Arabidopsis thaliana: one gene and its partner. The protein of the gene in region 2 interacts with the protein of the main gene of each other region in a pairwise test. Each region holds a gene or a part of one and is shown on either strand. Other genes may lie near its edges.

Region 1 (6,803 bases), on a different chromosome or scaffold from region 2:
TGCAGATGAAAAAAAAACATACAGCTTCACACCTCCATAACAGCGTGACAATCCATAACAACCTCAAGGACTGCATCAAGTCCTCCTAGTTCTCGCAGTTTCTCCTTGAAATTCCCTCCAGTCTTCTTTACAGAACCAGAAGTATCTGGATGGGGGTAAACAAAAGATCATAATATTATCACCTTAATTCTATGCTAAAATAAACCTAGAGAAGCAAAATAAATACTGGAGAGAACAGGAACTTTTCATCATCTATAACCTAATCTAACTGATTCTAAGATGATCTCCGAAATAGTTAGCTAGTCATTACTTCCGGGAGAAAAGGCAAAAAGTTCTAATACCATCAAAAGAAATTTTGGATACGCATGCTCTCTCCATGGCCAACAAAGCTACCCATTTTGTACTTAGCTCAGGCCTCGTTGTTTCAGTTATATAGCTATCATTCAGTCTCATTTCTTTGCAATTAACAAGAAGTTCCTGAACTCTTGAGAGGATATCACTGGAGCTCGGATCATCCATTTTCACTGGATCCCGTGCTGCATCAACATCCTTAAGTAATGATAAGAGCTTAAATCCTATATTGCGTGGCTTCCCTTCGGTGCTAGTGACAATCACAGGTTTCAACAACTTTATCAGAAACTTGATGCACTTGGGTGACTCCATAAAGTGCTCGTCTTGACCCTGGAGTCATGAAAATGAATTGGTAAAGTTATATACGGAAAATGTGAAATGGTGAATAAGAAACCAAAAAAACGTCAATGAATCAAAGATTAAACATCAAAAACATACATAACAGCATCTGCAAATCACTTACATCAGCAGTTAGCGCAAAGAAAAGGGTGGCTGCGGCAAGATTGCTTGGTATATCATCAAGGCTAAGAACCAAAATCGCATCAATTATGGATTGGGAAATCCTGAAACAATAAGCTCCCACAAAATTAGGTAACTTTTCCTGAGATTTCATGATACTTACGACTCAGCATCCATCTAGGACTTCTTATCGACTCAACCAACGAATCAATTAATGGGACAAACACAAAATCTCCAGTCCTTGGGAGAGAATCAGACATAGTCCTAAAACCTTACCTCGCATGCATCATGATACAAACCCTATTCAGTAATACACCATTCCAATCCACTACAAACCAGATTCTCTAAACTGTCATGCCCTAATCCTCTTCAGAAGTCCAAATCCATCACAAATCTGATTTACAAGAACCAAAAATACAGAGAAGAGAAAACGAAACCATAGAGTTTGTTGGCCCTAATCGTGCCCTAATCTAGAAGACCGGAAAACAATGAAAACCCACATGCCAATTTGGAAAATTTCTCATGAATTGAACAAAATCAAACCCCAAAGAGAAGGGGGAAATCGAAAAATCTAAGAAAAAAGAGTAAAGCTTCTTACCCTTGAGCCCTCAAGGAGCGACGCTGGTGTTGAGATGCACAAATCGACAATAGAGAGGACAAGCTAGCTCTTCTGATCCTGAGCTGGTGTCCTTTCCTCAACCCATCAAGCGCAAAGTTAACCTCATCCTCATGCTCCATCAGCTCACCAAACTCCTGAGCCTCAAGCAAAGTGGAAGTAAAAGCAGCAGCCTCAGCACCGTTCCTGACTCTTTTCGCCCTCCGTACAACACCTCCGTTCTGTGGATAATCCTCTCTGAAATTTGACCTGGAAGAAGAATGCCAGAGAGAGGAAGACTCTTGACTGGAGAAAGGAAGGAGAGAGTAATCAATGGGCTCGATGTCCGGCGACGAAGAGGAAGAGAGATACTCAGTCTGAGAAACAGAGTCGTTTAGAGAGTCCGATAGGGTCCTCGGAATCCCCGGCTTACGGCGGCCGTAGGTTCGTTCCATCATCGCCGAGACGAGTCGTTGAATTTGCAAATTTTTGGGGAAGAGTTTTAGGTGAGAAAATCGAAACAAGGGTATTTCGGGAAGAAAGACAAATATATAAAAGTGCTCGTAAGATCTGCGTAGCTGAAGAAGAGAGCAGCAAATGCGATTGGCCGTTAGTTTTACAATTATCATTAAATTTTGTTGTTACCACAGTAATAACTAATACTAAGTGAGTAACCAGAATGTTTTAAATTACTAACTAACTTTAGCAATTAAAAGTTAAAAAGAGCACACAAATTTTCACAGTCTGATTTTTGGGGTTTCAAGTTGTGTCTGAATTACAACTAAACATTTATTTGTTATTGATTTTTTTTTTTGAGTATTACCAATGCTGGAAAGTTTTAAATTTATGCTAGTTTGAGCATTTTATATTCAACTGATTCAGGAAATTGTGTAATGTACTGTATACTGTAAAATATAGAATTTACCAGATATAAAATTAATAGTAAAATATGTATCTGATTTTTTTCTGTTGAAAATGCTTTGACAAATCATTATGTATCAAACTATGTAATTTCTTGTTGACAAAAAAAAAAAATATGTAATTTCTTCTTATTTATATACATATAAATTTTGCAACGGACAAAAATAAACACAAATTTGAATGGTTGCAGAATTTTACATGGTGGCTGAGGCGAGAGGACCATTAGTGTCAAGATGGTGCAGGACTGTGAACCACTGCACCAAATGTGAGTGCCTTAATAACTTTTGCACTTGTACCGGAAGGCTTCCACCAGCTACCGCCCTCACCCCCGCATCTCAGCCTTCGCCTCTACTTTGATTTAGAATATAATCCTACAATGAACTATATGTTTTCCCTACTTATGATATACTACAACATTCTGAAATTGTTTTACATGATGTAATCAAAAGACGTGATCGTTGCTTTCAAATATTTACAAAATAAAATCTCACATGAGCCTAGTTTTTTCATCTGAGCATATCTCCGGAATGTATTTGTAGTCCGCTAAGCGCAGGCGATATTGTGAATCCGTTTCCGTCCATACGGTACGAAGGATGCGCGAGCGGGACTGGTCGGTCCGGAATAGGAGGAACCTCGATGTCTCCTTCAAGCATTTTCAATGCATCTAATATTGTTGGCCTTAAAGCAACCAATACATGGGCACACAATATCCCAACTTGCAAGAATCTCTCCATTATCCCTTTCGGATTCGAGAGCCCTGAGCCTTCCTCTCTCAACAAAGACTGCTCAAGAGCTTCCTCTGTTTTCCCTGCTTTTACCAATGACCAAGCCCAATCTGTGATCAGAAAAGTGTTTGGTGATCCAGAAGTAGACAGATCAAGAGCTTTCCTTCCACACATGATCTCCAATATAACAACCCCGAAGCTATACACATCGCTTTTCTCGGTTAATTGACCATAGAGGGCATACTCTGGAGCCAAGTAACCGTGTGTTCCCGCAACTCTGGTAGTGAGATGAGACTCTCCTTCTCTACTCTGTTTAGCTAAACCGAAATCCGCAACTCTCGCTCTCATATCGACATCTAACAATATGTTCGTACCTTTAATATCCCGGTGATAAATAGCGGGTTTCACACCGTAATGCAAATAAGCCAACCCTTTAGCCACATCCAAAATGATGCTCTTTCTCTGAGGCCAGCTCAATGGCATCTTCGTAGTCTCACCTCGAGGAAACAAGTGATCATCGAGATTTCCATTAGACATGTAATCATAAACAAGATATCTCTGACTCTCACTATCATCATCCACCATACTACAACCTCTAAGCGGAACAAGATTCCTATGTTTCAAATTGCTAATGATCTCAACCTCATTACGAAACTCTGCATCCCCTTGAAACTCAGACTCTATCACCTTCTTAACCGCGATAACCGATCCATCTGGTAAAACCCCTTTGTAAACAAAACCAAACCCGCCTCGACCGATGAAATTCTTCTGCGAGAAGTTATTCGTAGCTTTCTCTAGTTCCTCGATTTTGAACCAGATAGAGCCAGTGTTTGGTCTCCATTTCGGTCTAGACCCTTGATCCTCCCAACCAACCTCTCCTCCTTTAACAGCTTTACCAAACCGGAAATACAAACAAATCAAACCGGCAATAACCAGAGCCCCGAAAATAGCTCCGGTTATCCCTAAAGCAAGAGCCACCGTGTGTCTTTTCTTCTTTGAGTTCAATGGAGATCTCAAACTCAAAGAGAAGAGACAAGACAAAGCATCATCACTCTCAGGTCCTTTCTTGTTAACAATACCAGCAGCGTAAGTAACCACAAAATGGTAACAATAAACACCGTGAGAGCTATTACCGTCCAAAGTGATGAGCTGTTTTTGAACCCTAAACCCAGCCGCCACGCAAGCGTCGCATCGCGTTAGATCAGTGAGACCACTGCTACAGGCGGAGTCAAGCGCCGTAGATGGACCGAGACGAGATACCCAATCTTGAGTCGTTTGGATTCCAGCACAGGTTTCGTTATTGATGACGAACTGATTCGGATCGAAACAGAGAGAGGTGAGATTCGAAGATAGAGAGAGTGAACTAAGCTTCGTTTGGAGATTGTTGAGACAAGAGATTGAAGTAGCGAGATTTGGGAGACGGAAATTGGAAGTTTGTTTGAGACGATGAGCTAGAGGGATTCCGATTAGAGTTAAAAGAGATTGGCAACAACTGTTCTTGCTATCGGCTGATTTGTCGGACTTTTGACAATCTGTTGTGTTCCATGGGATTGTTAGGACATGAGAGAAATCTAAAGGACAAGTTTGTGATGGAGATTGAGCAACGCAGTTTGTGAGATACAGGAATGAAAGAAGAAGAAAGAGAATCGAGTTAGGCATGTTTATGTTGGATTATGGTGAAATCGAAGATATGGGTTTGGAGAATCTGAGGTTTTTTGGTGGTGGAAAGTGAGTGATTGATTTTGGCGGCCATGAAAGTTGAGGAAAAAAGTTGGATTCTTTTGGTCAAAGAGGCTGCTTTGATCTGTTTGACTTTGGAAGCAACATGGAAATGCAGCTTGTCCCCACCTGCAACTGCCAACACTAACGATGAATGAAACATATTCCATAGTGGCTACGTTTCACTTTCGTTTTTAATGTTAAATGTGGGAAAATTGAAAAAGCAAAATTAATAGATAGTACTAGGATTATAAAATTTTGACAAAATTAATGGGACAAAAATTCAGACGGTAAGACAAAAGAGAAAACTGAATAAAGGTCAACTAGAGATATCATTTTAAACAGTCGACTAAATTATCAAATTAGACTCTTTACGTGTAGAGTTGTTATTATTGCTTGCTGATGGGAATGGGGATCCACTATTGCGGATAAAAATAACTTATGCAACATACAAAACTACCAAAGATTGTGCTACAACCGAAACGGATCATTCGTTATTCTCATGTCAGTATGCTCATGCACTTTCGATAAACTATACAAGTCTACAAATGTACCGCTGGTAAATGTATCTTTTGAGTGTATCCATAATCTCATGATAAGTACAATACTTTGGTTCTGATTATTCTCTCTCAAACCGGGTCGATGCATGCTCATCCAATTCCTAGTAAAAAGTTATCAAAGGGGAATTAAATAAGAAAAGCCTATAAATTTTCTTAAGAAAATATTTTTATTTCGGAAAACAAAAAAACAGAAATTTCCTAATAAAAGCTCTCCCAAACAACTCGGCTCTTCGTCTGTCTGATAATCTAATTCATCCCTACACACGACAACGACAAGTTTCCTCATCTTTCTCTCTGTTTTCTCTTTCCGCTAATTTCTTGATCATCTTCTTCTTGTTCTGTATGCAATGGGGACTCCTCGTTCGCCGGCTACAGATTTCTTTGGAATTTCCAAGACAGCATGCAAAGCCTACAAGTCCCTCGTCACCAAATTGCACCCTCTTTCTTCTCATCGCAAATCCGAATCCCATTCCGATGCCGATTCCGTACGTTTAATTAACATCTTCTCTTATTGTGACGAACGCTATTTTCTGATCATCATTTCATTTACGTTTTCACATTTGAGCAATGATTTTTGCTATGGAATAACGTAGAAATAGATAAATTGTTCCCAACAATGATCAAACGGCGAAATATTCGATTTATATCATTATGGATTTCCGTTTCTTTCTTCTTTTTATCTCTTCGAGGATTGTTTGTGAAAACCTCTGTTTCGTAAAATAAAAAAATCATTTTTCAATCCAGAGATCGTGAGAACAGAGTAAAATAATATTTTTGTTTGTAAAAATTGATAGGCAATCCACCGGAGATATTTGGAGGAGAAATTTGCGGAGGAGGATGATCTCATTGCTGCTCGGAGAGGTCTCCGGCTACAGAGCATGGACGATAGTAGCGTCTTCAAACGTCGTTCTTCTCTGTTATCAAACTCAAGTAGCCGCCGTAGCCACACGCCGCAAGCTAGACCAACGTACCTCTCTTCCTCCGCTTCTTCCAACCGCCGTTCTGCTTTCTCAAGAAGCACAAGCCGTAGAGACGAAGGCAGCAGCCACAGCGGAGTGAGAAGCCACGGTTTGAAATCACGTCCCATCTCAAACAACACCAGTCCGATGACGTCACCTTTCACGAGTCCTAGAGGAAAAGATCAAACCTTAGGTGATTTATTCGGATCTGTAAAGAAACTTTCGTCTCCTACAAGCAATAGTCCGATAAACGGCGTCAAACAATCTTCTCCTTCGTCGATTTCGAAGAGTGCTAGCAAGAGAGATAAGGATGAAAGAGGCTCTACGAGCTCGGCGACATCGACCTCTCTGCCATATTCAAAGAGTAAGAGCACGAGGGATACGGCTGGATCAATTGCAAAGAGTATAAGCCGGAGAAGCACAACGCCGATAGTGTTTTCGCAGTCTACACCGCCGAAAAAACCACCAGCTGTGGAGAAAAAGCTTGAGTGTACGTTAGAAGAACTCTGCCATG
Region 2 (6,607 bases):
CAACCAACATACTTGATAGCTCACTGTTGGTCCTTTTATGATACTTTCTAGGCCTGCTACCGGAGACTTTCGCAGAGTTGGACCTCGTGACTGGAACCCGAGGCTGAGGATGCAACGGGGGACGGTTAGACATTTCCTCCAAATGTGCTGATGGAGATGGGTGACCCGGCGGAGATGATCTCACCATCGGATTAGAGGAGTAGACAGGCGCCGGCGGTAAGACCGAAAGCACAGGCGACCTATGAATCAACGACCCTTTTCCGCGGTTGGAGCGGGGAAATGAATCACGACCGAACAACGGCGGAGCAGAGCTGGCCGGTGCTATGGATGAGAACACAGGGGAAGGCTGAGGGATCGACCATGTTCCGGTGTTGGAGTGAGAAAATGAGTCTGGACCGAACGACGACAGAGCAGAACTGGCCGGTGCTATGGATGAGAACACAGGGGAAGGCTGAGGGATCGACCATGGTCCGGTGTTGGAGTGAGAAAACGAGTCTGGACTGAACGACGACGGAGTAGAGCATGATGAAGGACTCGTCTGGGGAAAGTAGAAGCTAGACGACGAAGCAGAGCTCACCGACGCCTTTGAGTTATGGGACGACGACGGCGTAGGAATCATTTGGTGAATGTTGGAGAAGCTAAACGAAGGTGTAAAGCTTGCCGGATTATTGAATGACGTCAGTGAAGGACTCGCTTGAGTGAAGTCGGAGAAGGTAGGGGACGGTTGAGTCGTACACCGTGGTCCGGGGCTGAAGTCCGGCGACCCGGCTGGATAACGGATCAGTGGTGGTGACAGAGAAGTCCGGGAAGAGAGTGACACGCCGGTGCTCTGGCCACCATCATCAGTACTGAAAGGATTCTGCTGGTATTGAGTCATATTTCCACGACCGTTCATCGTTGTTATCGGAGTTTCTGCAATCATATGGAAGTTTTGTTATTTTTCTTAAAGAAGAAATCAAAAATCGAATGCATAAATGGGAAAGAGTTAACAATAGTCCAAAGCTAAAATTGAAATGATCAAATCGTGATATTCAGATTAATTCTATGAAAACTTTGATCAGGTTGCAGACAAGGAGACCAAAAAAAAAGAAGAAGATTGAAACGTTGAGACTTGAGAGAGACATAAAGAGTTAAAAGAGAGGAGACCTCAAGCTTCAACAATGGATAAGGACAGTTGACAAAAGAAATCTCTCTGAGAAAATGATTGGTGTTTTTTTTTGTCTGGTTCAATAGATTGCACGACCCTCCTATTTATATTTGGTTAAGGAAAGGACACAAGTCTCATGTTTTTCACCCTCCTCATATTTAATTAAGGATTTTTCCCTTTTTATGGTCTCAAATATTTTATATCTATACATTTGAATTATTTTTTCTATAAAACAGCTTTTACATTTTTAAGATAAAAAGCTATACTGTACTGTGTTGTAAGGTTATACAATGAAAATTTATAAATCTAAATTGTTTGTGTTTTGCTATCGAGTCATTAGTTAGTTATTTTGCCGCGTTATTTATTCTAGTGAGTTATTTTATCACGTTTTTTTCAGTTTTATTAATGAGTTATTGACACGTTTATTTCGTTGTAATCGAACTATTTTACCACGTTTATTTAAGACTGATCAAGGAACATAAATATTGTTTGTTTTCTTTTTCTGATTTAGATATACATTTGGTTCATCTCTAGAAGAATTACCAATGTTGGATTTTACAAATGATTGTTGTTTGATTTTTTACAGAAAGTTTTGTATATTTTTGTAGTCCTTTGATTAATTGTAATTGTGAGATTTATTTTTTGGCTATATTAATAAATATCATATATCTCCTTTTTTTGATCAACTAATATTTTTATTTTTGTTTATTAATTTATTGATTTTAGCAATCACTTAATTAGTAAATCTTTTCTATGCACTACATGGACCCACATTAAATTACATTACTTAATTGTAGATATTTCAGTGAATCTAAATTAAATTTTGTAAAAAAAAATGTATTTTTATTTGGAAAAAATAATTGTTGTTAGCAATAAATTAATAGATACTATAAATGATTGTAAGTTTGTTTAGAAATTAAATTTACCACATTTGGCTAAAAATTGGGTAAATCACCATAACAGTATTCTATATAAGTAATTTATCTTAGACCAATTATGTAGCGACAAATGTACATTAGTAGATTTACTTCCTTGTTTTTTTGGGGCCACCTTTCGGCCACTTGATAAGTAAAATTTCTTTCTATTTGGGCCAAAGTAACTTCTTATTGTAGAACCGGTAACGAAATTGACTCAAACAACCCATGAGACTCACACATATTATTCCTCGCTGAACTGACACGTGGCATTATTTCAAAGAAGTAGAGATTTTTACCTTGAATGTAAAGATTTTTTATTTTAGTTTTTCCAAAACTCTACTTTATAGCAATTCAAAATTTTGCAAAAAATACTTTCCCTAAAAAACAGAGGATCTAGTATTTTACTTGGGTTGTTACAAAATTTCAAAGAAAAACCAAAACCCATTGTAAGACTTTTTCATCTTTTGCTTTTAACTAACAATATATAGTACATCAATATATATATATATATATATATATATATATATATATATATATATATATATTGAACTCAGCTCATAAGAGGGGAAAAAAGAAAGAAAGATGTAATTCGAATTTTTGAAGATCATTGGTCGTTGGATTATTGGAAAAGATAAAATGCTGAATAACAAACATATCACAAAAGAGATTATTAGATTCTTGAATCGATCTGATAGCTAACCACATCAAAGTTATTTTTTTGAATGAACCACACTAAGTTTTAATTTGCTAACGAGTTCGACATGATCTTACTTCGCCGTGAGACGGGAATGACACTGCGCGTTTTATCCTCGGCATCTTCTTGTCATCCGGAGCAACCACAACGGCTAAACTTTGGCAGCTGTTTTTCACCGTTTCTTCAGTTCGTTTAGTCGTCTCGGTACTCTGATTCTGCACCACACACGGTTCTTTGCTTGGAGTTGAATCCACAATCTGATCTGAGCCGCGCCTGACGAGAATATGAAGACCGATCAAGATGACAAGAGGAAGACACATCAAGAACAATGCATAGTAGATGATCCACCCGAATCCCGTGTGACTCTTTCCGTGACAGATCCACTCAATGACTAAAGCCATTCCTGAGGTGAATGTAGTCAAGCTGCTTAGGACAAAAACTTTGACAATCCCCGGATTCGGAATTTGCAAGAAGGCTCTTGCGGCGCCAAGAAACCATATCTCTTGTGACCGTTGATGCGTCTCCACATGCGCCACTGTGGCTTTCTCCATCATTTTGTTGTTGTTTATGCTTACTTTGTGTTTTATTTTTTGTTCTCTCCTCTCGGTATAAAAAGAAACTAACAAGTGAAAGAAAAAAGGGGTAACAGATTTTGCTATCAAAGGGGTAACAGATTTTGATTTTTAACTGTTACGATTTTATTTTATTTTTTGAGGTCAAAACACAGATTTTTTATGCAAACCATTTTTGCCCATCCAAAAGATACACATAACAATGGTTTTACCATACACAACAAAGAACAAACTATGGACAATAAAGACAAAGACAACACCTAATCTTAAGAAGACGAGAGAAACATACTTGGACTGTGTAAACAACAGAGGCTACTTGATAGTGATGTAGCGGTTTGTCCCGTGCCTAGCCCAATAGTCTTTAAGATCAACAGGACACGAGAGATCATATCCTTCTGCTGATAAACGGCTGAGTAATCTCGAGAAAACGTTTCCGCTCATTTTCCTACCGCCCATCCGAGAATGCCTCTTGTTTGGCATCTGCGGTAATGGATACTGGGATAAGGTGGTTGTGCAGCAAGACGATTGCCAGCCGCCATTTCCCCATTTGTAACACTGACGCGTAGAGCCTGTGCACGAACACATGGGTACAGGCATTGTCGTCTCATCGAAGGTGACTAAGTTCAAACCGACATCTTGACTGTCCCAATCTGTTCTAGATTTCTTTCCAGGAGCAGGAACTCGACGGTTCAGATCTTCACCCACTTTTTTCACCTTTGATAGTCCCTGCTTGTTCTCTTTCTTCCTTTTGTTCACCACCTTCGTGTTTGTAACCTCAGGCGGAATAGTTGACAAAGGGAAGACTTCAAGTTTGTGGGGTTCCCCAATACCAAAACAATCATCTCCATCAACACACTTCCCACCAGACAAAGCAAAGTTGAGACTATTTTCATGGTGTTGAAGAGCAGCATAAGCATTATCTCTCTCTATCAAAGCTTTATCTCTCTCAGAAAGAGCTTTGTCACGTTGCTGAAGCGCTTCGTCCCGAGCAGCGACAGCTTCCTTTTTAGCAGAGACAGCTTGATTTCTTTCATGTACAGCAGCGTCTCTCTCAGCAAGGATGGACATGATCTTCTTATTCATCACCAACGCATTATGTTGTTCCTTAATCTGATGCTGGGGAATCATATTCCACTGTAACAAACATTCTTTGCTTATATAACTTCAATCACACTAACAAAAACATATCTTTAGGAAACCAAAAATCTTAAGTCTTACCATAGATTGTGCACCTTTGAAGTAATCGGGCTTGAACCGCGCATTATCATACTGACCACCATTCTCCATAACTCTTATAATCTTCAAACAGTGAAACACCGAACCAATCAAGCTTCTCCTCCAAACACACTCAGCAACAGTGAAACCAAATTTCAAACATTGTGATTCGATCTATGAAAACAATTGAAGAGTAAGAATTACAAGCAGATATTAGCACACTGAACTCGCAATTCACTATCTTCAAACAAAATCAAAACTTCTCGAATTGATCTGCCAGTTAGGGTTCCGCAATTGATTCAGATACCAAAATCAATCTGAGCTAGTCAGAGAAACAGGTCTTAAGGAACAATTTTACGAAAATTGGAATAAATTAGGTCAAGATCAAAAAGGTCGAATCAATCTAAACCTTCCATGACAAGAGATTATTCCGCGAAACAATAGAAAACAAGGGTGAAACTGAAATTATAAACCCTAGAGATACAACACATTCAAAATTGATTAACAAATAAATTAAAGAGAGGAAAAGGCGCGAAAGCTTACGAATTCGATGAGCTTCTGGAAAAAATCTGGGCAAAATGGATAATTGATCGAGAAGAAAGATCCAAAGGGTAGAGAGAGAGAGAGATAGTGTCTCTGTCCGCGAAGAAGCTCAATGTACTTACTTCGTCATTTACCAAATTACCCTCTTCTCTACTACTAAACAAGAGAAATCAAGGGTATACTCGTCTTTTTAAATATCCTCTTTCAGTTACAATAATGATTCATTGTGGATTTAAGCATATAAATAGAGAAGAGAGAAATCTATATCACTTTCCATCAATGTGTGATATTGTAGTACTTAAGAAATCATAATCTGTTTAACAACATGAGTTTATGTATGAAAGATAGGCTCACAAACATTTGAGAATGTTTCAGGTAAAGCTATGGCTTCTTCTCGTTGTTTATCTTCTTAAGCTTCATTTATTCATGTAGATAGAGAGAGTGTGATCAAGCGTAGAGATCAATGTTCCAAAACTTGGCTGGTTGGTTCGTGCGGTATTTCCTCTCCATGCTTTTGATCACTTCCATGTCCTCTTTCGATAGTTCGAAGTCGAAAACCTGAAAGTTCTCTTCCAATCTCGCAGGCTTTGATGTCTTTGGTATCACCACCGTTTTTCTCTGGATTCCCCACCTCAGGACAACTTGTGCCACTGTCTTTTTGTACTTCTCGGCCACATCCTAAGAATTCAGATAAACGCAGTCCTTTTTTAATTGTCAAAGGTTCAATCCAAACTTTTAAGGTTTAGAGGATGGGGCTTACTTTGAGAACTGGATCATCCAGGCATGACACGGTGCCAAACCACTCGGCATTGGCTGTGGCACCTCCGAGAGGAGTATGAGCAGTGACACAGATACCATGTTTCTGGCAGAATTTGACAAGAGAATCACGTTGGAAGTAAGGATGTGTCTCGATCTGATTCACAGCAGGTTTGATCTTGGAGTAAGCCAAGCAATCTCTCGTTAGAAAGACATCATAGTTACTGCAAAAAACCTAATGGTCAAAAAATTCATATATTGGCGACTAAACAAGAGAACTTGTAATGATAGTGAGAGAAGTTGAACCTGATTCCAATGCTGCGGACTAAACCCATAGAAACAAGCTTTTCCATGTCGTGCCATGTAGTTTCCAGAGAGATGGTCGTGTCTATGTCCAATACCCCGTCATCGCCCAAAGCACTATCGGTTGTCCCTACTCCTGCAAAGCATATATAGAAGACACTTAAGAAAACTTGATCTCAGTCAGTGAAAAAGGAGGACTTGTAATAAAACGAAATGCAATGGTCTCTGACTCTAGACTAATAAAACGCTAATGAGGCAGAGGCCTCACCGGTGTGTTTCGTTGCTACGGGAAAATGAACGAGGAAGAGATCGAGGTAATCAAGTTGAAGTTTCTTGAGACTGTCTTTGCAGGCCTCAATGACATGGCCATGGTCTGAATTCCATAGCTGCAAAAAACCAATTCAGATCACAGATCAGAGCTTGCTCACATTAAATTGAGATCATAGCTGTATAGTTTTCG

Evidence for each region. Proteins that work in one complex are often made in the same cells at the same time.
Region 1: the proteins of AT2G21237 (region 2) and AT1G11050 interact in a protein complementation assay, tested with the Arabidopsis thaliana proteins (one large-scale study listed by BioGRID).

Annotation. Positions count from the first base shown.
Region 1 is NC_003070.9:3,679,799-3,686,601, reverse strand, and holds AT1G11050 (Protein kinase superfamily protein), read right to left. Parts: upstream 4,715-6,803; 5' UTR 4,711-4,714; coding exon 2,833-4,710; 3' UTR 2,433-2,832; downstream 1-2,432. Other genes in the region: AT1G11060 (WAPL (Wings apart-like protein regulation of heterochromatin) protein), read right to left, coding at 33-145, 342-681, 815-914, 1,409-2,034; AT1G11040 (HSP40/DnaJ peptide-binding protein), read left to right, coding at 5,678-5,815, 6,125-6,803.
Region 2 is NC_003071.7:9,097,873-9,104,479, forward strand, and holds AT2G21237 (uncharacterized protein), read right to left. Parts: upstream 3,344-6,607; 5' UTR 3,313-3,343; coding exon 2,812-3,312; 3' UTR 2,664-2,811; downstream 1-2,663. Other genes in the region: AT2G21235 (Basic-leucine zipper (bZIP) transcription factor family protein), read right to left, coding at 1-895; BPC4 (basic pentacysteine 4), read right to left, coding at 3,643-4,464, 4,549-4,617; AT2G21250 (NAD(P)-linked oxidoreductase superfamily protein), read right to left, coding at 5,536-5,766, 5,849-6,068, 6,151-6,283, 6,416-6,533.